3 linked regions of the Coturnix japonica genome follow. The protein of the gene in region 2 interacts with the protein of the main gene of each other region in a pairwise test. Links are inferred from orthologs where the notes say so. Each region holds a gene or a part of one and is shown on either strand. Other genes may lie near its edges. The genes, in order: PITX1, IPO13 and PAX6.

Evidence for each region.
Region 1: the proteins of IPO13 (region 2) and PITX1 interact in binary tests that used the Homo sapiens proteins (3 or more experiments, as listed by UniProt). The link is inferred for Coturnix japonica from reciprocal best matches to the Homo sapiens genes IPO13 and PITX1.
Region 3: the proteins of IPO13 (region 2) and PAX6 interact in a two-hybrid assay, tested with the Homo sapiens proteins (2 studies listed by BioGRID and IntAct). The link is inferred for Coturnix japonica from reciprocal best matches to the Homo sapiens genes IPO13 and PAX6.

The regions. Positions count from the first base shown.
Region 1 is NC_029528.1:2,529,141-2,537,900, reverse strand, and holds the end of PITX1 (pituitary homeobox 1), read left to right. Parts: intron 1-1,444; coding exon 1,445-1,650; intron 1,651-3,858; coding exon 3,859-4,398; 3' UTR 4,399-4,442; downstream 4,443-8,760. UniProt on the Homo sapiens protein: Sequence-specific transcription factor that binds gene promoters and activates their transcription. May play a role in the development of anterior structures, and in particular, the brain and facies and in specifying the identity or structure of hindlimb.
Region 2 is NC_029523.1:17,978,499-17,989,064, reverse strand, and holds the start of IPO13 (importin-13), read right to left. Parts: upstream 5,790-10,566; 5' UTR 5,709-5,789; coding exon 5,640-5,708; intron 639-5,639; coding exon 1-638. Other genes in the region: ARTN (artemin), read right to left, coding at 6,561-6,997, 7,130-7,307, 7,407-7,487. UniProt on the Homo sapiens protein: Functions in nuclear protein import as nuclear transport receptor. Serves as receptor for nuclear localization signals (NLS) in cargo substrates.
Region 3 is NC_029520.1:4,645,300-4,655,871, reverse strand, and holds the start of PAX6 (paired box protein Pax-6), read right to left. Parts: upstream 6,007-10,572; 5' UTR 5,927-6,006; intron 5,633-5,926; exon of another isoform or gene 4,420-5,632; intron 2,443-4,419; exon of another isoform or gene 2,174-2,442; 5' UTR 2,032-2,173; intron 1-2,031. UniProt on the Homo sapiens protein: Transcription factor with important functions in the development of the eye, nose, central nervous system and pancreas. Required for the differentiation of pancreatic islet alpha cells.

The sequences.
Region 1 (8,760 bases), on a different chromosome or scaffold from region 2:
ACCGAGGCCGATCTAAGGGCCGGGTTTCAGCTGAAATCACGGCGGGGCTGAACGCGGGGCCGCGGCCTCAGCACTTCGCTCCACGCACCCACCCGGGATACCCCGCACAGCCGGCGGGCCCGCGAATGGGGACGGCGGCCCCGGGAGGGCAGTGAGGAAGGGAGGGTTTTGCTCTGTTTGCTCGGTGGTCCAGCGACCGGGGCAGCTCTGGGGCTGCTGCAGGCCTTGTTTGCTCTGCAAACCACTTAACGCCAGGAGAGGCCATCCGAGCTGCGATCGGCCCTTTCACCGCGTTGGGGTCTCCGTAGAAGTTCTCTCTCCCTCCTTTTTATTCCGGAGGGCTCCCAGAGCGAAGGGTGACTTTTCAAGGCCGAGTCCCCCGACCCCCCCCCCCAACCCCGTCAGCCGCACGCAGCCCACGATTCTGTTTAACCTCGCAGGGATTAGGGCTGCAGAAATGCCTCCTCACCGCCTCCGCCTGAGCCTGCGGGAAAGGCGCCCAGCTCAGCCCGGGGGGAGCGGACGGGCTGCGCACCCGCGCAGTTCCCCTTGGGGCAAAGGTGCTCGCATCCCGCAGCGGCGCTGCGCAAAGCCCCGGCCCCCCCCAGACCCCCGTCCCCGGGCCCACATCGAGCTGCTTTCAGGCCTCGCTGTGCCGTTCCGACACGGCCGAACCGGAGTTCGGAAAGAACCGAGGAGTGTGTTCCGAATGGTTCTGTCACCCGCAGCAGCGAGGCCAGGAGGGATTCCCGCATTCCTGTTTCTATAGTGCACAAATCCCGGTCGCCAAAACGCGACTGAGATTTTTGTTGTCTCTGTTGTTTGTGCTTCTTTCGAAAGTAGTTTTTTTTTTCTTTCTTTCTGCAGAGAGCTTTGCTCGGCCCGGGGTTAAAATAAACAGTCAGGTCCTAAAAGCAGCAAAAGAAGGGAAAGGAAAAAAAGAGAGAGAGAGAAAGAAAACAAAACAACAACAACAAAAAGTGGGGGAGTAAAGAGGGAGGGCGACTTTTGCAATTAATTGCTGCGGGTTTTACACCCCTGCCCTTCCAAAGTTTCCTGTCGCGGCCGAACACAACAAAGAAAACGGAGCAAAGATCGCGCCTTAGGTTTAAAGGAGTAAAAGAAAAACTCATGGGCCGCAGTGAGGGCGATGCCGCTGTTATAATCTGCTCCCCTCGATCCTTTTCGCCACTCAGTTCGAGCCATGCGGGTCCCTCGGTCTCCCCGGGCCGGGCCGGGCTGCTCTCGGTGCTGCGGTTTCGGTCCCCGTGGGTACCCCAAGCGCGGCTGCAGTGGGGCGGGCAGGGCCGGGGGTGAGGGGGTGGGGGGGGCTGCCTTTGTGTGCGTCTATTTGGGTGTGAAACAAACAAACAAACAAAAGAAAAAATGTATGAGAAAAAAATATATATATATAAATATGCCCAACCCCAACATCCCACCGTAGAAAAAGAGAGAAGCGGAGAGCAGAAAAACGAGGACGGGGCCGCCGACGACCCGGCAAAGAAGAAGAAGCAGCGGAGACAGCGGACCCACTTCACCAGCCAGCAGCTGCAGGAACTCGAGGCCACTTTCCAGCGGAACCGCTACCCCGACATGAGCATGAGGGAGGAGATCGCCGTGTGGACGAACCTCACCGAGCCCCGAGTCCGGGTAAGCTGGGTGCTGCGGGGCTCTGCTGGTCCGGGGGGAGCTGAGGGAAACGGCCCCTTTTGGGAGAGGGGCCGCGAACAGAGCCCGGCCTCTGTGGGATTGGTTTTGGTTGTTCAGATCGGTGTAGTGAGGTTGGAGAGGAGAAAATCAGCTCCTGGCTGCGGAGGTGAATTAGGGCTGTGCCGGGCCTTAAAAATGGAGCGGTGGGACCGGGCCGAGCCCGGGATGGAGCCGGTTTGTGGGGTGAGACCCCTCGGCTTGATCCAAACCCTCGGGCCCTTCGCATCGCTCCAGTTACCCCCATAATCCTGTTAATAACGAGGACCCCGTCCCCAGTAAACCACCGCTCCGCGGCTCCTCGGGATGGTGGCTCAGCCCTCGGGATCCGCGCGGAGAGGTGCGGAGCTGCCGCGCATCCCCCGCGGGGACAGCGCCGGGGGTGGCTCCGCTGTTCTCGGGACTGCGAGCAAAGCGAAGGACGGGGGCTGGGGGGAGACTGCCCTCCAAAGTCAATAAGCGCTGTGGACACATTCCTGTAAGACGAAGGCGCTGGGTCTTTCCACGGCTCCGAGAAGAGCCGATGCCATCCCGGAGTATATATAGCCTCGGCGGTTATTTAGAGAGAGATTTACGTGCTGCATAGCGCTGCAATGAACAACCAAAGCGGAACGGCTCGGGCCGTATCGATCCGCAGCAGTTTTTCCCACCTCCCCTCGCCTTTTCCTCCCGAGATTTTTCCCCCGCGTGGTTTCGGTACCGCTGAGTCCACACACGGACGGAGCAGAAATCTGGGAGAGAAAAAAAGGGAGTTTGAGAGTCACCCCTCAGCCCCTCAGAGCCCTTTCTGGTAATTAAACTCCAAATGATCCAATCGGATAGCAAACAATTCCGTTTAAAATCTTCCGTGAGTAAACACGCTCTGCATCCGAATGCATTGTACTAATTGCGTTTAAAACAAAACAAAACAAAGCCCGAGAGGAGACCGAACGGCATTAATATTGCTGGAATATTTCAGGAAGCAAATAAAACTAATATACGAGTGGCCATTAACATCATTTCGTTCTCCCTCTGTGTGGAGATGTTTTGGTTTGATGTTCTGAGATTGCAGATTGCAAATCTAACCTTAATTTGCTGTGAGGGCCTTCCTTTAAAATGTCTAGGAGCCATAATTAAAACTATTACCCTCATTTTCAGGAAATTCCTGTCTGGAAGCACCTTCCGAGGAGTATATTACAGGTTTTGAAAACGTTGCCTTTCGTTTCCTCTTCGTATTTAATACTGGATTCTTTTTATTATTGTTATTTTTTCAATTGACTCCGCCATCCCTTCTTCCCTCGCAGTTTTTTCCATCCCTATGAGCGCTGGTGTAAGAACGTTGCGCCATCGCTGAGCGGGGAGGGGAGGGCAGGGGCGCTGCGAGGAGCGCAGCCTCCGCGGGGCTGAGCGCAGTGAGGAGGGGGCGGCGGAGGAGGCTGGAAACGGAGCGCGGTGCTGCCGGGTTTAACCCGGGGATAGAATTTGGGAGCCGGGCGGCCCCTTCCTGCCCCGGCTCATGGATCCCATCGCGGGGGGCTCAAAGCCTTTCCAAAAAGAAAAGAAAAAGTAAATAAAATAGGAGAGAGCCTGGATCGGTTTTTTGCATCAAACACCAGGAGCGGCCCCTGCTCCTCTGTTCCCCAGTCAGGGCTGTAAATTCTCATTAGATATAAAGGCAGAGGCTGCATCCATCCAAGGGCCATGCAGGGACTGATTTTTTTTATTTTTTTTTTTTTTAAACCTAAACATACTAATCCAATCCCCTTTTTTATGATCTGTAACAGGGGACTTTTATTACACAGCATTAGCATTCGGAAACACGGCGGAGCCGGGGCGAGCCGGCCCTAATCAGAGCTGGCCGTGCCTTCTCCCCATGGCGAGGGGAGAGGGGCGGAGGGGGATGCGGACACCCGAGCAGCCCCGCTCGCAGATGCCGCTGAATATCGGCTGCGAGCGGAGATGCGCGGACAGGGAGCAGAGGGGCAGGGATCGATGGGACCGGGAGAGGTGGGACTGGGAGCGACTGGGGCCGTGCCCGAGCGTGGGGAGGTGGGGGACTGAGGGGGTGAGGGGGTGTCGGGAGCGTCTGAGCGCTACTTGCGCGCCTCTGCGCGGCCGGGAGCGCATCGTGCGCGGCGGGGCAGCTCTGACCGTGGCCTGTCCCTCCCTCAGGTTTGGTTCAAGAACCGCCGAGCCAAGTGGAGAAAGCGGGAGCGGAACCAGCAGATGGACCTGTGCAAGAACGGCTACGTGCCGCAGTTCAGCGGGCTGATGCAGCCCTACGACGACATGTACGCCGGGTACCCCTACAACAACTGGGCCACCAAAAGCCTCACCCCGGCGCCGCTCTCCACCAAGAGCTTCACCTTCTTCAACTCCATGAGCCCCCTCTCCTCGCAGTCCATGTTCTCGGCTCCCAGCAGCATCTCCTCCATGAACATGCCCTCCGGGATGGGCCACTCGGCCGTGCCGGGCATGGCCAACTCCGGCCTCAACAACATCAACAACATCAGCGGCTCCTCGCTCAACTCGGCCATGTCGTCACCCGCTTGTCCCTATGGGCCGCCGGGCTCTCCCTACAGCGTGTACCGGGACACTTGTAACTCGAGCTTGGCCAGCCTGAGACTCAAAGCCAAGCAGCACTCCAGCTTTGGTTACGCCAGTGTGCAGAGCCCCGGCTCCAGCCTAAACGCCTGTCAGTACAACAGTTGACGGACTTGACACGAACCACCTCCGACGAACAGCGCCGACAAAGCAAAACAAAAAAAAAAAACAAAACAAGAAAAAAAAACAAAAAAAAAAAAACAAAAAAAAGAAGAAAAAAATACAAAATAAAGCAGAAACAAAGCGACGTTAAACGGAAATGAATATATATATATATATGTGTGTGTGTGTGTGTATGTAGGAACCCGATGATGTGTAAAAGCAAAACCCGAGCAAGTGAGAGAGGGAAAGAAACAGCACAAAAAGGGGGGGGGGGGGGGGAGGGAAGGCAAAATCATAATGATAATAACGATGATAATAAAACAAAACCCGAAAGCTCTGCGGACTTCGATTGTCTAAAAAACCACCACCAACAAAAATGAGAATAAATAAGAATAAATAAATAGAAAAAGAGATCCGACGACACAACCAACAAAAGCAGCGCTTTAAAAACGAATAAGCCAATAGTAACCATTAAAAAAGCAAACCACCAAAATAATAATAATTAAAAATAATAATTAAAAAAATAATAATTAAAAAAAAAAAAGGGAAACGGACCAGAAAACTTTTTGCAAGAGACACCGAAATCTGGTACATGGATGAGTTGCAATTTTTCTCTGGATGATGCGGGTTGTATGTGTTTACTTGAACTTGCACAGGAGGTGGTAAGGCGGCCGCTCCCCGCGGCACAGCGGCCATTGGGGGCGGCCCGGGGGGAGCGCTGGGGGCGGCGGCGGCCGCGGGCGCACGAGGGTGGGGTATGGGGGGGAGGTAGGGGGGAGGATGGGGGGAGTTCGGGTGATGTTTACCACTGAGAAACGGAATCGCAGTCCAAAAAAGGGGGATGGGGGGAGGGGGAACAAAAAGGAAAAGAAATAACAAAAAGAAAAAAAATTAAAAAGATTTTTAAAAAATAAATTTAAAAAAAAATAAAAGAAAAAAGGGAGGGGAGAAAAAAAAAAAGATATAATTCGCAGAGTCGGTTCTGCGGGGGGAAATGGTTAAAATATTAGGTATAATAATGACAAGGGTCAACCACTTATATAAGGTTATATTTATATCTGCCGTTACGTTGTGCCGGCTCATTGTCCTTGGCCGTTGAATAAACTGTTTTTAAAATGCATGATTCTTGATGTTTTTTTCTTTAGTTGGAAGCTATAATCCAGTCATTCCCGATCCTAAGCAGCTCCAGGTTCCTACCTCTTCGTCCTTTCCAAACGACTGCAGTATCCCCGGGCGTGAGAGCGCAGACACCCTCCAGCGATGCGAAAACTCTCCAGCGTTTTCCCCATCCAAAACTCTTATCCTGATAATGAAATTATCACCCGTCTTTATTTAATCGCAGGGTTCCAGTCTTCTTTTATTATTATTTTTTTTTTCTCTTAAAATAATAATAATAAAGAACTTTAAGAGAATCTAAAGGAAAAAAGGCCAAAAATGGTCTGTTATGAAGCGAATCCAGATACTGCATCTCTGCTTGAGAACGGTGAGCTTCGGAGTCCGGAAGGGTTGCATGGCAAAGCCGAAAGCGTTCCTCGCTTTTCTAACAGTGAAAGGAAAACCAAGGAACCAAAAAACAACCCCAAAAGAGAAATCTTAAGGTGTTCTTATCTTAAGGAGTTCTTATGTAAATGTAGATAACTTTAACAAGTGCTTGTTGGCGAAAAAAGAAAGAAAAAAAAGGGGAAAAAAAAGGAACTGATAAATATGATCTTTATTAACACGCATACCAAACGCATATGAAGTTTAATTGCAGGCATATTTGTTGCTTCTCTTTTTGTTGTCGGTACTTCTTATTACCTGTAGATGACAAAGAAACGTAATATAAAATGCACACGGTACTTCTTTCCCAGTGTATTTCACACCTGTGGTAACGTTACGCTGGATGTTTCAGTTATGCTGTTGTGGATACGGATGCGGTATATATATTGTTTTATAAGTTATGTTTTGTGATTTTATTATTATTAAGTCCTTTTTTTTTTTCCTTCCAAAATTAAGAGCATGGGAATAATAATATTAATAATAATAATAATAATAAACAAACAAACAAACAAAAAAACCAAAAACGGTGAAACGAAATGTAGAAATGCCTTTAATGTTGTTTTCTGGGGTTTGAGACATGGACTGCTTGAAAGCAAAGGAGATTTCCTCCACCCCCCCTCCCCCCCTCCCTGCCCAGTGGTGGTATTTCGGGGGGGTCCCTCCGCTTCCTCCCGTAACTCCGCCGTCCCCACGACCCCCATCCCCGCCCCCGGCCCCGGGGAGGGCACACAGCCCTGCGGCCCCCGGGTGCAGCCCGGCCAGAGCCCCCCCCCCCAGCTTTACGGCGTCCTATCGCCGCTGCTCCGGTGGGGCAGTGGATGCCGCGTGGATTTCTGCTCCTCCGCTATAATAACCCCGAGCTCTGGGAGAGGTTCGTTTTTCCCCCCTCAAAAGAGTCAATCCTCGTCCTGAGAGGAACCCCCCCTCCGTGTAGCACAGCCCCGGGGCCCATCGATCCCTCTGAACCGTTCCTTCCGTTTTACTAAGGTGTTTTTCTCCCATATTTCTCGGATTTCCCAGATATTCTCAATTTAAGGTTTATTCGATGCCTTTCTTTTTTCTTCCCCCCAGCACCCCCCTTCGAACCCAAGTTGCCCCAAGCCCCACTCGCTGATATCACACCCGTTGTCGTTCCGATGAGATTTTGCCGAAAACGCCATCATTTCGCCAAAACGATCCGAGAATTCCTCTGTCCCAAAGCCGCTCCTGGTGCAGGGAGATGTGAGCTGCAGCCTGGCCCTGCCGAGCCCCGCGGGGTCCTCTGGCATCAGAGGGACACTGGGGGGACACTGAGCCCCGGCCCGAGCCCCTGGGTCTTCCTGAGCCCTCAGAGCCCCGGAGTTGGGGAGGCGGAGGGTTGGGGGGGAGGGCACCGGGCGGGGAGCTCACATTGTCCGTTATTGTAGCTGCACGAGCACGCACATCAGGTCAGGAAAATTCCTGCTTTTCCCGTCCTCTTTCCTGGGGGGGTTTATCTGAAAGCCCTCCGCTGTTATTTCAGCCTGGATTGGCTGCGTTGGTTTTTCTCCTGTTCCTGGAGGCAGCACCGTTAGCCCTAAATCAGGGCAGCAGCTACGGTGCTCGTGTTCAGCCCTAATTCTGCTGCCAGAGCCCCAAAGCCCCCCAAAATGCAGCTTGTGTGTGAAAGCCAGCGGCTACTGGGGTCTCTGCAACCACCATCAGCATCTTCCCCCCACTGCCATGTGCCAGGGGAAGCTCACCCACCACTGTGGGGGGGAAATGTGGGTTTCTTGACCCTTTTATGGCTTAGAGAAAGGAAAATTCCAAGTAGACATTGAGCAGAAAGCACCTCCTACAACATCCCCGTACATTTTTATGGATGTCCTGCTTCCAGCAGACTCCAGGTCTCCCCCACAGTGGTTACAATCAAATTAATGGGGAGATTTGGTGGGTTCGAAGCATGAGACCTCCTGTCCAAGCACAACTTCCTTAGGGATGTCCTCAGAGGACACCTCTGTCACAACCCAGGTGTGTGCCCAGCCCTGGGGGGGACATCATTACATGGTCTCTGAGCCCCCAGAGGGCTGCCCCCTATACATGACTCCCCGCCCCACTGCTCTTTGAGTGCTGGTTTTCAATCTCCCCTCACCGAAGCCATGTTGTCACACACCAGAAGTGATGCTTTTCTCACCCTGCACATTCCTACAAGTGGTTTCCAGCGTGGGAAGCTCATGCAAGGATTGCTGAGGCTGCGTCAGTCCATCCCCAGTGGGTCTCTGCCTTTGGCCGTGCTGTACTGAGCCCCAGAGCTCTACCCACTGCCTGCAGCCTCATGTGCTGAGGCGAGCGGATGCTTGGAGCCCGAGAAAGAGCTGAATCAAGTTTTCCATTCGTTCTGTGCGTGCTGGCTCACCTATTAGCATTCCCAAGGCCAAGCAGCCTGGGGAGTGCTCCACATACCTACCTGGGCCATGGCTTGGCGTGGGAGCCCTGCATGTGCTGAGTGGTCCCAAAGGCTGTTATGCTGCAGAGGCTCCTATTGCACAGCCCAGATGAAGTCCACAAAGCCCCAGCGCCTAAGACTGCGCTGTTCATTCCAGATTAAATGTCTTCTAATAAAAAGCTGTGGTCAGTTTAACTCTGTGCTGCATACTTCTCTTTATCTGTGGCCTGGAACTCAGCAAAGTATGCAAAGTCCCATTTAAATTAATGGGATGCTTCAGTACTGATTTTAATGGGATTTTGAATAATAAAAATAACACTTAGAAATGCCCTAACATTTTGTTGCAAACTCTCAACAAAAGTTGCTGGGACTGGGATCATAAAGTGCAGGCTTGACTTGGAACCTCTGAAGGTTTTGTCATTAAC
Region 2 (10,566 bases):
TTCTCGCAGTCCATCAATGGGATCTCCAGCTGGACCCAGCTGGAGAAGCACTTCAACACCTTCTGTTTGATGAAGCCTGGGGAGTCCTGCTGCTGCAGCAGCTGCTCCAACAAGGGGAAGACAGAGCCGCACTCCTGCGCCAGGACGCTGCGCACCTGGCCCTTGCGGTACTGGGGCAGCCGGCTGGTCTGGAACTCCTCAGGCAGCACCGTCAGCAGCTCCAGCAGCGCCAGGCAGCGCGCCCGCCCGTCCACGTTGGAGTCCTCAGCCTGGAACATGCGCACCATGTCAGCCACGGCGCAGGGCCAGGCCTCGGGCATCATGCTGAGCGCCAGCGAGGCCAGCGCCACACACAGCCTGGTCAGCACGATCTTGGAGCCGCCGGCAAAGCGGGTGATGTGGGTGAAGAGCTGAGATTTGAGGCTCTCGTACTGGTCGGCTGGGATGTCGTTCCAGTAGCGGGAGATCTTGATGTGGAGGGCGCTGGCGCCGAAGTACTGGATCTCGGGCACCTTGTCCATGTTGAGGAGCAGCCAGCTGAAGTGCCAGGCCTGCGGGGACACCTGCGCCTGCATAAGCCATTTCTGAGCCAAGTTCTTGTTCTCGATGTTGGGGTCGTAGTACAGTTGGTGGAGAGCCTGAAAGAGAAAGTGAGCACCTCAGGGTAGCCACAGAGCATAGCCCTGTCCTATGCCCAGGGGAGCACAAAGACATGGCACCCACTGGTGCACCACAGGGCTGGGTGGAAACAAGAGACCCACAGCAGCAGGACCCACAAAACTGTTCTCCCTTCCTTCCCACTCTAGAAATTTCCCTTCCTGAGTCATCTTCCATCCTCTCCTTCACCACACTGGGGCTGCCATGGGGTGCCTGTGCTAGGCCCAGCCCAGCAGCCCCACAGCGATGGTGGCCAGGTCCTCCCCACCCCTCTTCTCCCCGCCTCCATCAGCACAAGCAGCTGTAGCGCTGCTGCTGAAGTTTCAGTCTGTCGGGTTTTATGCAGCCCTGGAAAACCACAGTCACTAAGCTCAGGGATTAATCTCTGCTCCAGGTCCCTTTGAAGTGCTCCCAAGCCCGCCCAGCTACAGCTGAGCCAGGAGCTGGCATCAAACCCTACGGCTGCCACCTGGGATGGTCTGGAGCTGCTCACCCAGCTTCCCTGCGTGGAAGAGAACAGCACTTACCAGTGAGAGATCTAGTTATGGCCTTGCAGAGCCCACTGATCCACACACACAGCCCTACATCAGCCACAAGGCTTTATTTGCAGAGAGCTCCATCTTCTAGCAGCGAGCTCTCCTGCTCAGCACAGCACAGCTTAATTCAAATCACTGACTGCATGCCCCAGGAGCAGGGATGGCACTCATCAGGATAGCATGCACCTGCTGGAAGCCAGGGCGTGAGCCCAGCAGGTGGAGAGGATTTTTGATAGCCCCATCCTGGCTCCAGATCTCAAATATCCACCACCTCCCCCCTTGAAAGCTCTGTGAAATTCTTGTGTGGTTCTTGTACCCAGGAGAGAATTTAAGCCCTATTTTTAAGCATGCAAAGCTGGCAGCCTAGGGCACAAGAACACGCTTCCTAAGCGAGCGGTTGTACCTCATGCTGCTTCCCAGCACAAGAGCACAGAGCATGACAAAATGGCAGGAGCGCTGCAGAAAGGGACACTGTGTGAAACATCTCTTCTTAAGACTGGGAGGGGGAAAATGAGGATAACCTCTTTATGAGAAAGCAGAAGGTTATGAAACAGGCTGGAGGACGAGGCCAGCCACTGGCAGCAGTGCCCCCCATCACAGCAACAACTCACCTCATTACCAAGCAGGAGCTGCAAACATTCTAAAAGTTCAGCTGCTTCTGGGGCTGGGAACCTGGCCCCCATCTGCACATAAGCCAGTGTCCTGCTCCCCCGCTGCAGCCTGAGTCATCCTGCAGCAGGGCTCCAGCTCCCAACCATCTCCTCCTCGCACTGCCTTTGTCTTATTTGCTTTGTCAAAGCTTGCTTCCCAGCAACCTCACCTGAGACTCACAGAGGCATTACATTAGGAGGTGCAACCTGCAGCCATGCCTCATGGACCTCCAACTCAGCACGAGGCTTGCAAAGCATGCAACATGTTAATTACTCAGACTATGAAGACTCATGCTGCAAGCTGCTGGAGGGCAGAAGAATATTCTGGAAGAACATCCCTGCTGGCTTCCTCATTTCCTCCTCTTGTCCCCGAGCATCCTGACACACAGGAGGTGGTGTGGTGGCTCTCACCTGGGTGGCCTCCAGCTTAGGATGCCCCCCTGTACATTCTGTGGGGCTCTGCATAGCACAAGGAAGCCCTCAGAGGATCCTCAAGGATGGGCTTTAACACTATAACCATGCTCTGCAGGAGGCATCTGAACATGCAGCATGCTCATCCCTAGCAAAAAAAGGCAGAGACCTTCTGCAGCAGCTTTTGGCACCAGCTGCTGCTTGACTTGCACTCCAGACATCACTGTGCCAGCCAGCACTCAAGCCCATAAGGAAGCGCTGAAGATGACGAAGGGAACTCAGTGCCAGGAGAGAGAAGCAGAAGGCATGAAATTGGGCAGCGACAGCTAATGGGAAGGCTTTGTGCATTCTGATTTAGAAGCGTGGCTGACACCAGACCTGCCTCCTCTGCAATTAAACCTGTAACATGAGACCCAGTAAACAGTCAGGCTGTCAGCTCTGCCCTTTGCCCAGGGAATGAGCTTTCTCCAACACCATCTCTGCCTGGCTGAAAATAATTCAAGCTTGTTATTATGGGCCCTCCCTGCTCTAAAAAGCAGTGGTCAGAGCCCTGCTGGGCTCCAACTGCCAGAGTGGTGTCAGCCACCCAAGGAACTCATCCATGGTGTCACAGCTCCCACTTGGTCCCTCTGGGAGGCACGATGGGGAGCAGCCTGAGCATCGCTCCTGCCAAGCACACACAATGGACATCAGCTCACACCATGGCACCAGCAAGGAACAGGAGCTGCAGCAGCTGCTCTGAGCCCAGCACCAGTGTAAGCCAAAGCAAAGAACAGACACAACACTTTGCCCCATGAGTTCAGAGCGCCAAATGAAAAGAGGCCCTGTCAGTTTGCCCAGCAGAGAGGTGCCATCAGCACCATGTGCAGGGTGCCAGGAGCACCATACACCCAGTGTGCTGCCTGCTGCTTCCCAGCAGAGACACTGCATCTCCAGAGGCCGATTTGCTGTCAGCAGAGGTAACCAGGCAAGGAAAACAGCCCATATAAACGCTCTGTGCCCAGCACCCGGGGCAGTAGCATCCCTCTTTAGCCTCCTCCAGCCGCGGTGCTTCCCCATGCAGCCTCTTGCCTTGCTTTCCAGCCGTGCACTTGTTCCAGGCCTGCAGCAGCACAGCCATTACTCTGCCACTGCTGAGCGCAGGGAACGTCAGCCCGCCTCCCCCCGCACAACCACCATCCTCCCCCCAAAATGGCAGGAGAGCCTGAGCAGAAAGCAGCCGCCTGCTGAAGCATGGAGGAGAACAGATAGGAAATAAAGCTGTTGTGTGTTCCGCCCTCCCAAAAAACATGCTGCTGCTTCACCCCCAGCCTGACAGCAGAGGTGATGCTGCAGCCCCACAGCAGTCTGGGCTGCCCTCCTGCTGCTTAGCTACAGGTATCTCCTTGCAGAGAGCCGTGTGGTCCTCAGCCCAGATTGAGACATGGCAGCCCCGAGCTCACCCTGCTCTGTGCAACACCCCAGGGCAGCTGCCACCCCCAGCAGCAGCGGGGCCTTGAGGTTACACGAGTAATCAGCATTTTGAAAGGGACACAGAATGCAGAGTCCGGGTTGAGCTGCGAGGATGGACCCTGTTCATCACCTCTTAGCAATTCTTGTTGCCCCAGGAACCAGCTCAGAAGCACTTAGAGATGCTGCCAGCTCCTGTGCCACCCCTGCACTGCAAGTCACAGGCGACCAGGAGCCCTGTGATGGTGAAGCACAACACAGCAGAGCAATAGACAGCACAATGTGCCTCTGTCTGCCCAACATCATGGCACAGGAAGGAGCAAGGTGTTCAGCCAGGGTTGGTTCTGGGGGGAACCTACTGTCTGCAGCAAAGATCTGCTTTCACAGCCAACAGGATGAGTCCTTTCTTCCTTCAATCTTACAGGAATGTTCCTGTTCTGCCCCTAACATCCTCACAGGCACCGCTGCCCCATCAGCCTCAGCATCTCCCAGGGGCAGCCACAAGAGCCATCCCGAGGGCTGTGACACCAGGCCCACATCACTGCCTGTCCATGCCAGAATGCCACACACCACAGGGACCTGAAGATGCTCTGATTCCTGCCACGGGAGCTCCCCCACTCCTCGCTCTGCTCCCACCCCAGAGCTCATCACAGTGCCTGACTCAGCACCGAGCCAAACCCCGACTTCAATCACTATTCAGTGATATTAATAGAGCCATGCACAAAACCTGAGAGGCAGAGAAGCCCAGGCCAGCGGAACATCATTTATTTGTCAGTACCAACTCTGACAACACAGCTCTGCCCACCACCCTCCCACCAGCCCAGCCCCCAGCGAGAGCCCAGCTCTGTACAAGAATACCCCACCTGAAATGATACAGGGAGGGCTCCGTGATGCTCAGCCTCTGGGCTCCTCCTGCTCCCACCCTGCATTTCTCCCTCTCCATCTCCATGGCCAACAGCTGCATCTCCTGTAGATGTCAAGGCGACGGCAAAGCTGCGGCTGTGAGGGCTCATGGAGGGGGATGGGAGCAGAGCAGAGCATCCTAGAGGGCAGATCTGCCCGCTCCCATGCCTGGCTGCCCCCGGGCACTGCTCACCCTCCCGTGCCAGTGCAGACAAAGGCACAGTCGCTGCCTGCTGAAGCATAGGGAGGTCGGAGGCAAAAAGATCCCGCAGCCCTGCCCGCATGCGGATTAAGCCACAGAAGGTAGCGTTATTGTGGCGTTTTGCACACAAGGGCTAATCCTTGGGGGCGAGCTCTGTGTCGCTAGCATGGGGATGAGGGCTGTGACACCTGCAGCCACAAAGGGAACCGGCACCCGGCACCGGTGTGACACATCCCCAGGCCAGAAGCGATGGGGCCAGCCCCTGTGATGCTCTCACCGCCGTGAGCTTTGGCAGGGAGCTCCGTCCCCAAACAGGCAAAACGAGGGCTCTGGGATTTGCCTCGCACTGCCCAGGATCCTGCAGAGAGTCGAGGCGTTGGGAGCCCATAAGCTGGGGAGCTTTGGGGGGCTGTGCTGCTCACTGCGTGCCCTTCACCGCTACGCCCGCAGCCTCCATCACCCCCAGCATCGCTCACATGAAGCCGTTCCTCCCGGGGAGCCCTGCTCGGTCCCCAGCCAGATTCAGGTTCCCAGCAGCGGCTCGATGCCTCCTCCCGCATCTCCAGTCTCAGCGGCCCCGGTCTCTTCGGGAGCACCGCAAACACAGCGGGGCTGCACGGAGCGGCTCCGAGAGCTCTCCCCCACCAACCCAAGGATGCTCGGGATGCACAGCCCTGCCTCCCGCTCCCATTTCTGCCTCATCATCTCCCTCCCGCGGGCAGCGGGCACGGCTCGCACCGCCCCACCGCGGCCACACCGCGACGGGAGACCGACATCGGTGACGGCGTAACCGTGCGGCGCCCGATCCGCCTCCCCCGGCCCCGCTCTCACCTTCTCCACGTTCTCCACGGTGAAGTCGAGGCCCTGCGGCGGCGGCGGCGCCTCCGCCCTCCGCTCCATGGCTGCGGCAGCGGGCGCAGGGCAGCAGCGCTCCCCGCCTCCGTCCGTCCGTCCGCCCCGTCCCACCGCTCCGCCCCGCTCCGCAGCCCGGCCCCGCCGCACCGCACGCCGGGAGCGGTAGTCCCGGCCCCGCGCCCCGCCCCGCCGGGAGATACGTACAGCCCGGAGCTGCGGGGTCGGCCGTGCGGCCCATCGCTTTATTGCTACAGGAAAAGGCGGCTGTACAAAAATAGAGTTTATCCTCCCGTTATTTTCCTTCTTTTTTTTTTTTTTTATATAACAAATAATAGAAAAAAAACCAAAACAAAAAAAAAAAACCACGCTGCGGGCACGAGGAGCCCGAGGCCGGGGCTTCGCATCAGCGCTGGGGTTGCATGACACCCGGCCCCGCGGGCCCAAAGTCATAAATAGGAGCTGCCGCTCGAGAACAATAAATAAATAACTTAGAGCAATAAATAGTTGAGTGCCGCAGCGCCGCGGGGACCCTCGGAGCCGGGCAGGGACCCGGGGCTGGGGCTGAGCGTCGCCCCATTCTGCTGCACGTTGGCCCCTGTCCTCGGGGAGCCCCCCCGGGTGCTCCCTCCTGCCCCGCTCACGATGCTCGCGGGGATGTGGGGTCAGCAGTCCGGCACAGGGATGCCCCATCCCCTCCATCTCTCCCAGGTGGGGGCGCACCCCCCGGCTCTGCTTGGCACTGAGCGGAGGGGCTCGGTTTCAGAACCACCCCCGTCCGCCGCAACCGTGTCACCTCGGTCCCTCGTGGCCGTGTCACACCGGGACCACCCTCCTGCCTCCCTCCAGGCTGGGGATCGGCAGAGTGCATCGAGCCGAGGCCGAGCCGGCAGCTCCCCATCAACCGATGCAGCTGCACTCGGCCGCCGAGAGCTTCTCCACCGTCTGCCACGTGTTCTGCACATCCATGAAGGACACGGCCTCGTAGCGAGTGGGCCGGCAGCAGGGGTGGCTGAGCACGCGTTCCTGCGGCCCCGGCACGATGAGCTGCTGCCGCAACAGGCTGCCCAACGTCAGGTCGTAGTTGCTGCGTGCCCGGTGGCACGACCCGCTGCAGTACTTGAACAGCACGATCTCGTCCGAGTTGAAGCCCAGCCCCAGGTCGCGCACCTTCACCATCAGGTTGCGGATGTGGCAGTTGCGCCCTCGGGCACCACGCGAAGGTTTCCGTTGTCCCTTCTTGGCTTTGCCGGTGCCCGTCGGTGAGCGCTCGGCTCGCAGCAGCAGGTCCTCCGCCAGCTCCGTGCCACCTGGGGCTCCCGTCGTCACGTTGTCACCTGTGGGTCAGTGGGACAGCACTGTCAGCTCCTGCCCTCCCAGCACCACCGAGCTCCCCATCCCCTACAGTGACCACCTGTGCCCAGGATGGATGTGCTACCAAACCCCAGGGTGGCGGTACCAACACGCACCGTGCAGCTGGCTCCAGGCGAGAGGCACCTCCACGCCGTCCTCCACACTGGCAGTGGCCATGCCCCGTGGTGTGGGGGCTGCATCCAGCGTCTCGTTGCAGTGTGGGGTCCGCACGGTGCCGGCCACCAGCCCGGCCAGCAGCGACAGGATGGCGAGGACCCCCCAGAGCATCCCCTCCTGCAACACAGCAGAGCACGGTGGGGTGAGCGCCGGTCGCGGAGATGGAGATGGGAATGGGGGATCCTGACCATCATGGGCAGCCAGGCATGGGCTCACCTTGGGCTGTGGATGCGTGCTGAGTCCTGCAGGTCTTGGCTTTGGTGGTCCTGCTTGCTGCTCCATGCTGGCTGCAAGCATAGGGTGTGTGTCAGTGCTTGTGCAATGGGAATTGTGCAGCCCAGCAGCTGGCACACCATTGTCCCACCAAGCAGTTCATCCCCTCTCTCATCTCCCAGCGCCCCACCGTGCATCCCATCCCCATTGACTACACACCCACACCCCCCGTGCACCCCTCCCTGGGGATGCTGGCAGAAGGGCCTTTGCCCAGCACCTCTCCTTGGGAGGACGCAGGCCGGCTCTTCACACGAGCAGCCCAGGATGCCAGGCTGTGTTATAAGGCAGTGGCTGGGAGTGCCACAGAGTGGGGGCCCTTTTCCCATGGCTCTTCCCTGGGAATGTTTTTCTTCCTGGCAGTGGGAGCCTGACCTCAGGAGCTCCAAATCCATTAGCACAGGGTCCCCTGGTGCAGCCACCCCCGAGCCCCACACTGCCTGCCCACCATGCTGCCTGGAAGCTGAGGCACACAGCCCCGAACAGTGCGGCTGAAGGGTGGGACGGGTGTTTCCCATGGGGACACAGCACATCAGCACACTGCTCTCTCCAAGACCATTCCACCCCAGTGCTCCCACCCGCCGCCTGCTGACCCAGCCACACAGGGACAGGGCTGTCCCCTTGGAGCTCGGTGGCATCCTGCAGCAGGGACTTCCCCTTGGCTTTCTCCCCAGTGCTCCGTGGTGGAGAAGCATTGAGATGGGACATGCTGCAGAGAGCGTTGCTGGCCTAATGATGGGTGGAAGCAGCCAGGGTGCTGCCGGGGTGAGGAGACAAACTCCCCCCAGCCCTTGAGGAGATGCTCACCAGCCCCGAGGCCCTGTTGCTGCATGGGTGGCACTGAGCCATGCCATGCCGAGGGGCTGCCATGGGCACTGCCAGGCCCTCCAGCCCACTCTGGGGTCCGAGCACCGGGCTGGGCTGGCAGCAGGCCCCTGCCGTATCCCCATCCTGGCCAAGCACGACCCACGCAGCACGTTGCTCCCATGGCGTCCCGTGGCCCCGTGCCAGCCACTGCTGCCAGGTCATGGTTTTCCCAGGCCGGCACCCCCAGAGGGGCCATTCGAGGGTCCCGTGGCCCCGTCGGGCGGAACCTGGGCCCCCCGTCCCTGTCCTGCCGCCCCGCCGCGGCCCCTCAGCCCAAGCAGCACATCGGCACGGGACGGGGGCCCTCGCAGGCGGCGGGCCCGGAGCCAGGAGGTGACACAGCCGTGGGGCCCACGGTGCGGGGTTGCCGTCCCTTCGGCCCCGGCCCGGCCCGGGCACCGCCCGCCCCCTGGGAGCCGCGCACCGCCGGTGGTGGAACGCGCTCCGCCGCCCCGGTCCGAGCGAGAGCATCTGCCCCGGGAGAGGGAACGGGAGTGCGGCGGAGCCGGGCTGCAGTACAGGCTTCTCCCATCCGGCGGCAGCACGGCCCCGGAATCCAACGAGTGCAGCGGGAGGGAGAAGGTCGATCCCCGCGGCGAACCGCGTTTGCTCCGCACTCTCGTGGGGAGAACAGGCAGGGCTCAGCCGGGCTCCTGGGCACCGCAAGGGAATGGCAGCCCCGCAGCCCCGGCCGTCTGACAGCGGTGCGAGTGGGAGCAGCCCCAGGCACGGCTGGAAGAGCCCCGGCCGCTGATGGGCTCCGCAGCTCTTCCCAGGTCGGCATCAGAGCGATCCAAGCGAGGATGCACCCTCGCTCGGTTCAGCTTGCCCCCTCCGCCCCCCCAACACGCGTCCCACCCCCGGGGCTGCGCACCTCTCGCCGCTCACGCCGGGGAGCCCAGAGCTGAGAGCGAGTGTCCCGGCATCCCGGGGGCTGCTCGGGGCCGTGCATAACGCCGTGTCTCCTGGCCGTGCCCTGACACCTCCTCGGGCACCTGCGGGCACCACCGCGCTGTCCAGAGCAGGACTACGCGAGGGGTCTCCCGCAGATGACTCGAGGCTGGCACCTGTCCGCGGTACCGGGGGAGGCCGGGGCCGGACACGTGTGACCACGAACCGAGTGGAAGCGGACCCTCCGACCCGCGGGCAGCGCCGGGCCCCGCGTCCCGGTGCTCCCACCGGCACTACGGGACGCGCGGTCACTGCGGGAGCTGCCCCGCTCAGTCCCCGCACGCCGGTACCGGCTGAGCCCGTGTTGCCCGACGTGCCCAGCGGGCTGTGCCCGGCCCCGTGCCCCGGGCACTCGCAGCGGGGTCCCGGCCTCTCCCCGGCCCGGACGCGGAGCCCCGTTCCCCGCCGCGGCTGCCGAGCGCCTCCGGCCGCGCGGCTCGGATCGGGCAGTCCCGGGAGCCGTCCGGCCGGGATCTGCCCCGAGGTCCGGGCCCCCTCTCGCCTCTCCGCGGGTTTTGCCGGTCGGGGCGGGCGCGCGCCGAGCGGCTCCCTCCCTTTCCCCCCCCCCCGCCCGGTGATTCCCGTAGCGCCGCTTAGCGCAGGCCTGCGGACGACGCTGCGGCCGCCCCCCCGGGCGCCGCACTCACGTGCCCGCGGCGGGGGACCATCCCCCGGGCCGCCGCCGCCCCGCATCGCCTCCGCTCCCCGCCGCCCCCCCCGCTCGCCGCCGCCGCGCCGGGGCGGGGCGCGGGCGGGGGCCGGCGCTGCCCCGCCGACACCGGCACGGACTCCGTCCGCCGCTCGCCGTGCCGCTCCCGCTGCGCCTCGGGGGTCGCGGCGCGGGTCCCGCTGCGCCTGGCGGTGCGGTGCCGGGCCCGGCGGGCGGGCGCTCAGTGCGGGGTAGCGGCGGCTCCATCCCGCTCCCTCCGCAGCCGCCGGTGTCAAATTCCAGCGGCCGTCACCTGACCGGCGGGGCGGGCACCGGCACCGCGCCCCGAGCGGCACCAGGACCCCGACCCGCGACGGACGAGACCCCGCCGATAGCAGGAGCCGCACCCCGCGTCGGTACCGGGATCCACACCGGCCCCCGAGCTCGGAGGGAGATTCGCACCGCACCGGCGGCGGCACCGGGACCCGCTCGGGACTACCGGGCAGACGGAGCCCCGCAGGACGGACCGGCGGACGGCTGCCCCGACAGCGCGTTGCCAGCGGCACGGACGGAGCCCGGGGACAGAACTCAGCCCATCCCCGGGCGCTGCGGGAGGTGGGGACCGAGCCCCGCGCGTGG
Region 3 (10,572 bases), on a different chromosome or scaffold from region 2:
TGGTTTGCTTTTTTCCTCCCCCTCCTTCCCTTCATCTGCACCCCCATCACTTATCTATTTATTTATTTATTTACATATCCCCCCCCCTCCCCCCTCCCGTCCCTCCCCCCCGAGTATTTATTTATCCGAACGCGGCGCGGGGGAGAATGGAGCAGTGATTTCTTCTCGTTATAAATATCGGCGGTAATTGTGTTACTGGTGCGCGTTGTTCGGGGCTGTAAAAAGATACAACAGCGCAGTGGGGCGCTCAATTGGGGAGGGACAATTACAATAAAGAGCCCATTCACGGGGGTAGCTAAAAAAAAAAAAAAAAAAAAAAAAAAAAAAGTGAGAGAGAGAGAGAAAGAAAAAAAAAAGGGGAAAAAAAAAAAGGAGCTAAAATAATGAAATAGTCGCAGCCTTCGTTTTCTCTCCATTTTTTGGTTTTCTTTGCTTTGCTTTGGTTTATTTCCAAGCCTACAAATACCCATTCCTTTTCTTTTGCACCTATAATAAACATCAATTTTGCTCTTCCCGCGTGCGACGGGATTCACTCAGGACGAGCCACGCTGCTATTGATATAGAGAGCCTTTTAGGAACCTGAAATCCTCAAGAAGAAGCCCCGAACGAGCGCTCCTCGCAGCGCGCTGACGTTCCCTAGTAAATATTTACGGCGCCGCTGGCACCAGCACCCGGCGCTGGGAAAGAAGGGCAGAAAACAGCCGTCCGAATCCGGAGGTGCCCACACCGCCGCCGCAGCCCGAGCTCCGTGCGGGAGGCTGCCGGGGCACCGGGCACAACTCAGCCCCGCGGCAGAGCCCGGACTTGGGAGCCCCGCGGCGGTGCGGAGCGGTGAGGGGCCGTGCGGGCCCCAACTCCGCAGGCTGGGCCCCGTTCGCAGCTCGGGCTTCAGGCCCAGATCCGGTGACGTTCCGGAATATTTCCCCCCCCCACGCCCCCCCTCCCTCTGCAGAAACGCAACGAGGGGTGAGGGTGACAAACTTTCCCTTTCTCGAGGCGAAGGAGTAAAAGCTCAAAACGAATCGCCGTGCGATGGGGCGCCAGGAAAGGTCAGCGGCTGTAAACATTTATGGGCGAAGGCCCTTTGATTATTTTATGTCCTCGGGACGGGGCCGCCGCCGCTCTCTGCCCCGCGCAGCACCTGCCCGTGCGGGCGGCCTACGAAACTTTATCCCAACTTTCCCGAAGTGACCGCGGTGTGACACCTCCGGGCGGGTGAGAGCCAGACCTGCGTTTTCTGATGGCACTTTGAGAGGGGAAAAGAACCCGAGGGGGAAAGGACCAACTTTGTTGCTTGCGCGGAGAAGTTTGCGACTTCCTTACAAAATAATGATAAAAAGAAAAAGAAAGGGGGAAAAAAAAAGAAGAAGAAGAAGGAGAAGGAGAAGGGAAAAGTAAAAAGAAAAAGGCTTTGGAGCAGAGGGGGATCCCAGGCCCGATATCGTGGGGGTCACGAGCAGAACCGAAGCAGATCCCGTACGGCGCAGCAGCAGCCGGAGCGGAGCGGAGCTGGGCCCGGAGGAGCCGGGGAGGCTCGGGAAGAGCCCGGGGTGGCGAGAAGTGTTCTTGGCCCTTCGATCACGCTCAGCCCCGCTCGGTCCCGGCCGCCTAGGCCTACGCGGTGCTTCTCCCCGTCTTCTTTCCCCCCGGAGTCCCGAGCCCCGTCTTCCTGCTGCCGAGCCCCTGCCTCAGCGGCGTCCCAGCCCCGGCCGAGCCCCGCGGCACAAAGCAGCCCCCTGGGCACCGCCGCTGCCGCCCGCCCTCTCCGTCTCGTCCGGAGCCGCACAGGGCCCGCACGGCCCAGCACGGCCCCGCATGGCCCGGCGGTGCCACTGGATGCGGCTCCGCTGGCCGCAAGATCCCAATGCGGCTCGTCCAGAGGGCACCGCGAGAGAGCAGAAAGTTTGCGAGCTGCGGGCCGGAAAGTTCCCCGGGAGCTTCGCGGAATGCAAATGGGATGGAGAGGGGGAGCGAGGGGAGCGGAGCCCAGCGTGGGGCTGCGGAGCGGTGCGGGGAGCGACGCGGACTCACCTCGCAGAGGCATATCCCGTCCGCGGCACCGCTGCTGTCAGCAGGACGGGGCGCACCGCCGGGCACTGACGTGCTCCCAAAGTGTCGCCCTCAAAATAGTTTGTCTCCACTGAGGCTGCGGCGGCGGTGCGATGCCGAGGTCCTGGGAAGGAGACAGAGATTGACACCGCGGTGGCTGTCAGCGCGGAGCGGGCGCGGTGTGCGGCGGAGCGGGGCCGGAGCACACCTCTCTGATTGGCGGCCCCGCGCTAATGGATGCGGCCGCTCCTGCCTCGCCTCCACCGCTCTTCACTGGCCCATTAGCACAGCCTGACCTCTGTCATCATCTTCCAGCAAAACACTTCCTCCCTGCGCCTTAACCAGAGCGGGAAATGAGGCCGGGCCGGGGCTCGCTTTTCAAACCCACTAATCATTCCGCACATGCAAATGCTCCGTTCGCTCCCACACAAAATATTGCTTTATGCAAAGCGACGCCATCGCCTCCCCGCCGCCGATTGGCCGCCCCGCGCCCGGCACGGCTCAATTGGCGCAGCCGTTTGCATATGAATACGATGGGCCCGGCTCCCGGCCCCGGCTCCGCACCCGCGGCCCGGCCCCGCCGCCCCCCGCGATGCGATGCGCACGGCGGAGCGGTGCTGAGCGGCGGAGGGAGCGGCGCGTTCCCAGGTGGGGTCGGGTCGGGGCTGGCGGGGGGCAGAGAGCGACGGGAGAGAGGGGGCACAGCGCGGGGGAAGGGGGGGCGGGCGCTGCGCGGAACGGGGCATCTCGCCCCCCAGGGCTCGGCCGCACTCAGCTCGTGGAGGGCTCTCGAGAGGGCCTGGAGGGCCCTTCGGATCAGCGCCCCACGTGCCGAGGGCTGCGGGGAACCCCGCCCCCTCCTCGCCCCGCAGGTGTAGGGCCCCGAGGACGAGGAGACAGAGGGGACGGGAGCGGGGAGTCCCCCGATGCGGGGCGGAACGGCGGTGGGAAGACGGAGAGGGGCCGGGGATTCCGGGAGGCACCGGGCGGAGGGAGGGAGGGACGGACGCGCGGAGCATGAAATGAAGTCGTAGCCGCATACACTTGACTTCTCTTGACATGTGAAAAGTGCTAAAAGTCAAAGCTCATCAATAAAGTATCTTGAAACTGAATAAGAGCGCTGACAACCATTGCATTCTTAAATAAAGTACAATGAGGAGACAAACGACTCTGCCAAGGAGTTTGCATGTGAGTGAAAGGGCGCTCAATGGGAGCGGGATAATGGGCCGCGGCCGCAGGCACTGCCCGCCCCGCGCCGCCGGAGCTGCCTGGGAGCGGGAGGGGGCAGAGAGGGGGGGGACCCGACCGCAGCTCCCCGCATCACTGTGCGGAGCGAGAGAGGAACCACCGCAAAGCGACCCCCGGGTGCCGCCCCCTTCCCGGGGACACTCAGCCCCGGGGGGAGTTCGGGAGCGGGGCTGGGAGCTGCCCCGGGGGGAAGTCAGCCGTGTCCACGGGCCTCGCTTTTGTCACTTCGCTTTCTTGCTCTTTTATCTTTTTTCTTCTCTTTCTTCCCCCCCTCCCAACCCCCGGATAGTTTCTTCCCGCAGCAATCTCCACCAACCGAGCAAGTTTGGGGTTTGCTCTCGCTTCTTCGCTCCCTTCCGCAGAGTTAAAGGGAGAAGAAGAAAGGCGTGCAGCTCCTCCGAGCGCTCCCCACACCCGTCCCGGTGCCGCGCTGCTGCTGCCCCCCCCCACCCGCTCTGCGTCCTTTGTGTCCCCTCCGTCCCAAAAAACTTTCACCACCACCCCCGGCCCCCCCTGTGCCAAAGAGGGGAGGGAGGAGGGAGGGGGAACGCCGCTGACGTCACGGCGGTGCGTGTCGGGGGGCGAAGAAAGCCGAAAGTTGAAGGAAAGAAAGAGCTGCGGTGCGGGGCCCTGTCCGTGTCCGACCCGCGCTGCCACCCGGTTCGGCCCGGCCCTTCCCGGCCCCGCCGCCATTTTTCTCGTCCCGTGGCCGTGGCAGCCCCGCAACGGGACCCCCCCGCAACGGGAGGAGCCGCCCCGGGGCCGGGACGCGGTGTCCTCGGGCGGGGCTGCGGGAGGGGAGGGGGAGCGCCGTGCCCGGAGCCCTCCGCACTAAACGCCCGCTTGCTCCTGTGATGATTTTTCTTTGACTTTTCTCTCTCACCCAGCAGCCTCCTCCCCGCTGCCGGTCCCTCCGAGAAGGCGAAGCCCTCCGGCACAGCTCTGCCTGCGGCTGCCTGCTTTATTCCTACCTCCTCTCTCTTGTTCCTGCAAAGCCTCCGGCCCCCGCAGCCCCGCACGAGACCGGCACCTCCCGCACTCGGCCGTGCCTCCACTTTCCCCTATTGTTTTTAGAACATCATTCAAACAAACAAAAAAAAAGGGGGGGAGGGGGGGAGAGGGAGGAAGGAGAGCAGGGAGAAAAATAGGTTTTATATGTGTGTGTGTATGTATATATATGCACATATATATAATATACACACACACATATATGAAAGTAAGCAACCACTATACGTGGTCAGATTTTTTTTTTTTTGTCTGTGTTTTCTTTAATTGCTGCCCCTAATTAATGTAACGTCCCTCTCTCCACGCTTCTCTTCATCTCCCCCCCACCCGAGCGCTCTCTCTGTGCCGCACAGCGGTCCCCTCTCGCCGCACTCTGTCGGGCGCTGAGCACAGCTCTACACACCCCGTATCGTCTCCTCGGATTAATGTCCGGGCTGCGAAGTACCTTTTTTAATACCCAGAAAAATGCTTAAAGTCCCCTTGTCCAGTCCGGTCTGAGAGCGAAGAGATACACCAGCCCTGACGGCTCCGACTACGCTGCTTTTGCCTCCGGGACACCGCGTGCCTATTCGGATCTGTGCTGACAGCGGGTGAGACCCGCAGAGCGCAGAGTTACACGGGGCTCTCCGAGCTGGTAACCAAACTTTGGCACCGCTTCGTGCGGATGGAGCACCGCACCGGCGGGATAAGGCCGAGTGGAGCGGCTCTTTAAATGCCGTTGTCTGGGACGAGCAGCAGCCGAGCTCCGTTCTCCAGCGCAGAGCGGGTTTGATTACAGACCGAGAGAGGGGAGGCTTATGATCCCGCACCTCGGGACCCTCAAAGCCTTTCCCCAATGCACTTCCAACGGCCGAGCTGTCCGGGGCCGCCCGTGAGCTCCGCACACCGCCCAGCACCGGGCCGCTCTACCCCGCGTACGGCGCCGGCAGCGGCTGTCGCTCCCTCTGCCCGGCCCTCGGCACGTCGCGCTCGGAAACAAGTTGAAATCGCGGCGTTCCCCGTCTGGGAAGCCCGAAAGTTGGGTTAAAGGGATGTAATGGTCGCAAACGTCCTCCCTCGGCCGAACCCCACGCCCGATCCCGTATCTCTCAGTGCCGCCGCGCCATACGTCAGCGGGATGCGCATATAAAAGCGGCTCTGGTCAGAGGTAATTATGTCACAGCTTTCTCCCGGCGTGACAGCTGGATAAACACCGTCCCCATAAACATCTCTAATTAGGGAGGAGGATCTCACAGAGATGCTGTTTGATTTATTGCTGCCGGAGAATGTCCATTTACCGCGATATCGCCGCTCAGCAGCGGCGAGGAGCGCCCGAGGACGCCTCGCACAGGTAAGCGGGTCTGCGGGCTCTCCGCCGGCCCTTTGTTCGCCGCTATTTCGGGGTCACAACGCCCTTCGGCGGTTCTCCCCTCCCTCCCGCTCCGCGACACCCGTTCCGAACCCCCGACGGCGGCGCGGAGCCCTCCCGCAGCCCGCACGGTCCCGCGGCCCTGAGCTGCTGCCCCCGACGGCGCGGCAGCCGCTCCCCACCTGTTGGGCCGCGAGCTGCCCGCGGAGCGCGCTCGTCCCCGGGCCCCGACGGGGCGGGGGCGACGGTGGGGTGGGGGTACCGAGGGGCCGTTACCTGTCCGGCGGCGCGGCGGCCCGAGGAGGCACCTGGCGGCTCCGCTCGGCGATTCCTACGCCGGAACCTGCCACACAGTTTAAATGTCAATGACAATAAAAGAGGGGTGCTGCCTTTGCACTAACTTTCCCTTAATATCCACGCCAGCGCCTCCCCCATTGGCTGGGCCGCCCCGGTGACGTCACGGCGGACAGTACTTAGCTAATGAGACATTTTAGGCGACACGAGCCCGGCCGCCGCCCGCCCCGACGGCACTGACGGCACGGCCCCCGCCCGGGGCCAAGCTGCCGGGATCGCCCCCGCCCCCCCCCTACCCCGGACCGGCTGCCCCTCACCCCGTCCGACGGGGCCTCCTGGGTTACCCCTCGTCCCCGACGGCTCTACCCCGCCCCGCTCTGCTTCGTCCCGGGCCCACGTTTAGGGCTGTGGCAGCCGTGCCCGGCCCCGACGTGGGTCCCCGCCCGCAGAGAGGGGCTACGACCGGCGCTCACGTGTCAGAGGGTAACGAACGTACGGGCACAGAGGCACCCCCCCCCCCGGCCTGCTGCTCTGTGGGACTGTACTCGGTGTTAACGGAGCTGCCGATGAGCCGGGGGGGCTGCGAGGCCCGTCCCGCCGCCCCCCCTCGAGGTACGGCCCCGCGGGGTGACCCCGGTCCCGGGCTGCGGCCGTGAGGCGCGTTCGGAGCCGCTGCCACGAAGGGGCCGAGGACCCCGCGACCCGGCGGGGCCCTCGAGGGAGGGGAGAGACGGGATCGCCGAGGCTCCAGCCCGTTTATCCGCCTGTCAGCAGCGGGAGACGGCTCCCGCAGCAGGGCCAGGTGCTGCCGCCCCGCGCCGTGCCGCTCTCCAGAAGCTGCCGAGGCGTAAAGCGGAGTGCCGAACACGGTGCCCTCGCAGCACCGCCGAGCTCTGTTTGCGCTTTTATCTCCTCGGAAAAATCCGAGCAGAGCGGAGTGGTGCGAGAGGAGGAGGAAGAGAGCGGGCCGCGTGTGCCTGAGGAGCGCCGTAGAGGCCGCAGGAAAATAATAATAATAAAAATAATAAAAATAAATAGGATAAGGGAGGGGGGAAGCTGCAAAGCGATGCTCCCGAAGCACGCGGGGCAGCCTGAGCGCTGCGCCCCATTGCCCCGCGTGGGGTGTCCCTGGTGTGCCCGTGTTTGGGCGATGGGCGCGAGGACCCCCGTGCCCCCTCCGGGTGTTGCTCCGTTGAGCGTTGCACGCTGATAAACTCTGTACGTCTTCGATTTCCACCGCGACGAGGAGTTGCTCTTTCTTTTAATCCCCTTCCCGAGGTGCCCCGAAGCCCCGAGCTCGCAGGGATGGGGCGATCCGCGGCACGCGGTGTAATAATGAGCGTTAATTCTCTACCCAAGCAGAACTTGAGCAATAATAATAAGCACATCAGAACCGCTTGTTTACTGCGGCGATGTGCGGGCTGCGGGGCCGGGACCGCTGCGGGAAACGGTGTAACCTGAAGGAAACCCTCTAGAACGGGGGAATATGGCAGTGGAAGGGCTGCTGCGCCTCGCGAGGAGGGAGCTCGGTGAGCGCTTGGCTGGGACGTGCGCCCGTGCGTAAGGTACGTGGTCTACAGTACTTCGGTTTTATCCCCCCTCACGTTTATTTCGTAGTCTGATAGAATTTTCTCCGTCTGACATCCGCCTTTCGCCCCAGGACCGCGCTCAGCCCCGCTGCGGCGACTCGGATTTGAGCCGCTTTCGCCTCGTTCTTTGCCGTCCCGACGGAGCCCGACAGCCCCGCAACCTCGAACAAAACCCGCGGGGTCGGCACCGAAAGGCCTTTTAGTGCCGCGCTTCGGGTCCCGCCGGGCGGGGCTGAGCCCGGTGTGCGGAGTCCGGGGCGGCTGCGGGACCGCTGCGGGCAGAGGCGCGTCCCGAGGACGTGCTCTAATCCAAAGGAAGCTTCGCTTCGAAAAAGAAACGCAGCCGTAAATCAGCTCTTTGCGCTTCGTGGCTGAGCGTTATCTCCGCGTTGTTTTGGGTTTGTTTTTTTTTTTTCCCTCTCGAGGACTCTTAATGGTATTAATTTGGCCAAAAAAACTTGAGCTCGGGCTGTCTGGAATGATCTCCCTTCTCCCTCCTCCCGAACATTTCCATAATAACCGCGACTCGGGACCCCGCTCGGGCCGTGCGCCTCCCTCGCCCCGCGCAGCCCCGACGCGGGCTGCATTCCCCGGGGGTGATGGGATGCAATCCGCCGAGAGCCGACAGGCACGTCCTGGATGTTAGGGACGCACCGCTCCTCAACGTGACAAGGCTGAGTTCGATCTACAATTGTATTTGAAAGGGCAATGAGCGGAAAGATCTCCCGTCATTAAAGCCTCCCTCTCCGCTCGCGCAATAACGAGACCCTTCATTTGCACACAAACGCTCGGGAAAAGAGCCGTAAAGTCCCGCACCGGCCCGACCGCGCCGCGGAGCGCCCGCGGGGAGGGGGCGGCGGTGCGGAGGTCCCAACGCGCCCATGTGACCGCGGTGACTTTTTACTTTAAATCTTGAATAAGACGTGAGTTGTAACAAGGGGATTTGCACTTACTCCGTGACCCCTGTAATTGGATTAAATATAGACCGAGACGTACAAAAACAGAGCGAGATTGACACCTGCCAACTGGACTTCCTTATGATTGATCGTGATGCTTCGTGCCGGCAACAATAATGAAATAAATTGTATGGATAAAGGCGCGCATTTGTCATTTCCGCGCGGGGCGAGGGGAAGGCAGTGCGAGGCGAGCTGCTCGCTGACAGACGGAGCGGGGCGCCGAGCTGCAGCGCCGTGCGCGGACCCCAGACGTTGACGAGACAAATTATAACTTGTCACAACCTCTTAAAATTCAGAACTTTTCAATTAACACACAGATTGCCGCCGAGCTGCGCGGCTGTGCCCCTGCACCGCGGCCGCGGGGATCACACGCAGCCTCCGCGCCTCCTGCGCTGGGGGGGTCTCTCTGTGCTGCCTCCGTCGGCGGCCGGTCCGGGCTCGGGCTGGTGCTGGGTCCCGATGGCCGTCGGGCAGCTCTTCCCCCCCGTGCTGGGCGGACGTGTGCGGGTTGGGACGGGCCGGACCCCGCCGGGAGCATCGTCGTGTCCCGGGCTTGGGGCAGCTCCCGGCCCGACCCCAAACTCTGCTCCGTGCCCTGCCCCGAGCGCTGCCCTGAGCTGGTTGTGCCCCGGGGACACTGCAGTCCCACCCGTGGGGCATTTCCTCCGTAGATATTGGTTTTTCTTTTTTCTTTTCTTTTCTTTTCTTTTCTTTTCTTTTCTTTTCTTTTCTTTTCTTTTCTTTTCTTTTCTTTTCTTTTCTTTTCTTTTCTTTTCTCTTTTTCTTTTTCTTTTTCTTTTCTTTTCTTTCTTTTCTTTTCTTTTCTTCTCTTTTCTTTTCTTCTACTTCTCTTCTCTTCTTTACTCTTCTTTTTTCTTTTTTTCTCTTCTTTAACTCTTCTTTTTTCTTTTTTTCTCTTCTTTTACTCTTCTTTTCTTTTTTCTCTTTCTTTATTTCTCTTCTCTCTCCTCTCCTCTCCTCTCCTCTCTCCCTCTCCTCTCCTCTCCTCTCCTCTCCTTCCTCCTCTCCTCTCCTCTCCTCTCCTCTCCTCTCCTCTCCTCTCCTCTCCTCTCCTCTCCTCTCCTCTCCTCTCCTCTCCTCTCCTCTTCTCTCTTCTTCCCATGTTCTTTATTTATCTACCTATTTGTTTATTTTATTTTCTTCTTCTTCATCATCCTTTTTCCCCCTTTTTAAATTCTTCTTGATATTCCGAACTGGTTTCTGCTGGGCCCACGATCCCAAACGCGGAGTTGCGGCCCCACGGCTGCGGCCGGGCAGAGGCACAGGCAGAGCCGATCCGCCGAACCCCGCATCCCAACTTGGGGAAAATCCCCTCCTCCGGCGCCGCGACCTTTCCGTGCGCTGTAATTACCGCCGAACTCGTTCCTCTAAATTAAATGCTGCTGTGATTTGAATCCGTGTAAAGCACGAAGCGAGTTCCATCGAATGAGCCGAGCCCGCCCGCTTTCCCCAGTGGCTGCATCCATTAACATTATAATCTCAAACACCATTTTTTATGTAACACCATTGTTAGTAAATCAACTCCTCAGGTCCACAGAGACGCTGACCCCTGGCAATTCAGCGAAAGTGTAATTATCTCCCCGAATCTCGGGCAGATTTAGGAGATTACATCGCAACTAACTCCATATCAATGCTAATGCCCCGGCTCCAGGTGCCGCTCGGCGCGGTGCGGCCCCGCTCGGCGGCACAAAGCGCAGCGCCCCGGCCGGGAGGGACGGGGTGCCCCCAAATTGCACCTATTTGTACCACAAAACCTGGTCCGCGGATGGCAAAGTGAAACAAAGCGGCCATGCTAAATTAGCGTTAAATAAAGGGCACTTTAATGCTCGGTTACAGTCAACTGGTGTATATTTGATGGCTAATTGTCTATCAAAATTAAAGAGAAAAGAACAAATGATTCGTTATAAGAAGGTGTTAAAAGCTCCGACAAAGGCGCGTTTCACAAATATAATATCTGCGGACGGCGAATTGTCCGTTCGGGGCTCTTTTAACGTAGTGAAGGCCCGGGACTCCCGAGATATGAATAATGGGCACAAACGCTCTCTTTTATTCTCAAAGAGCC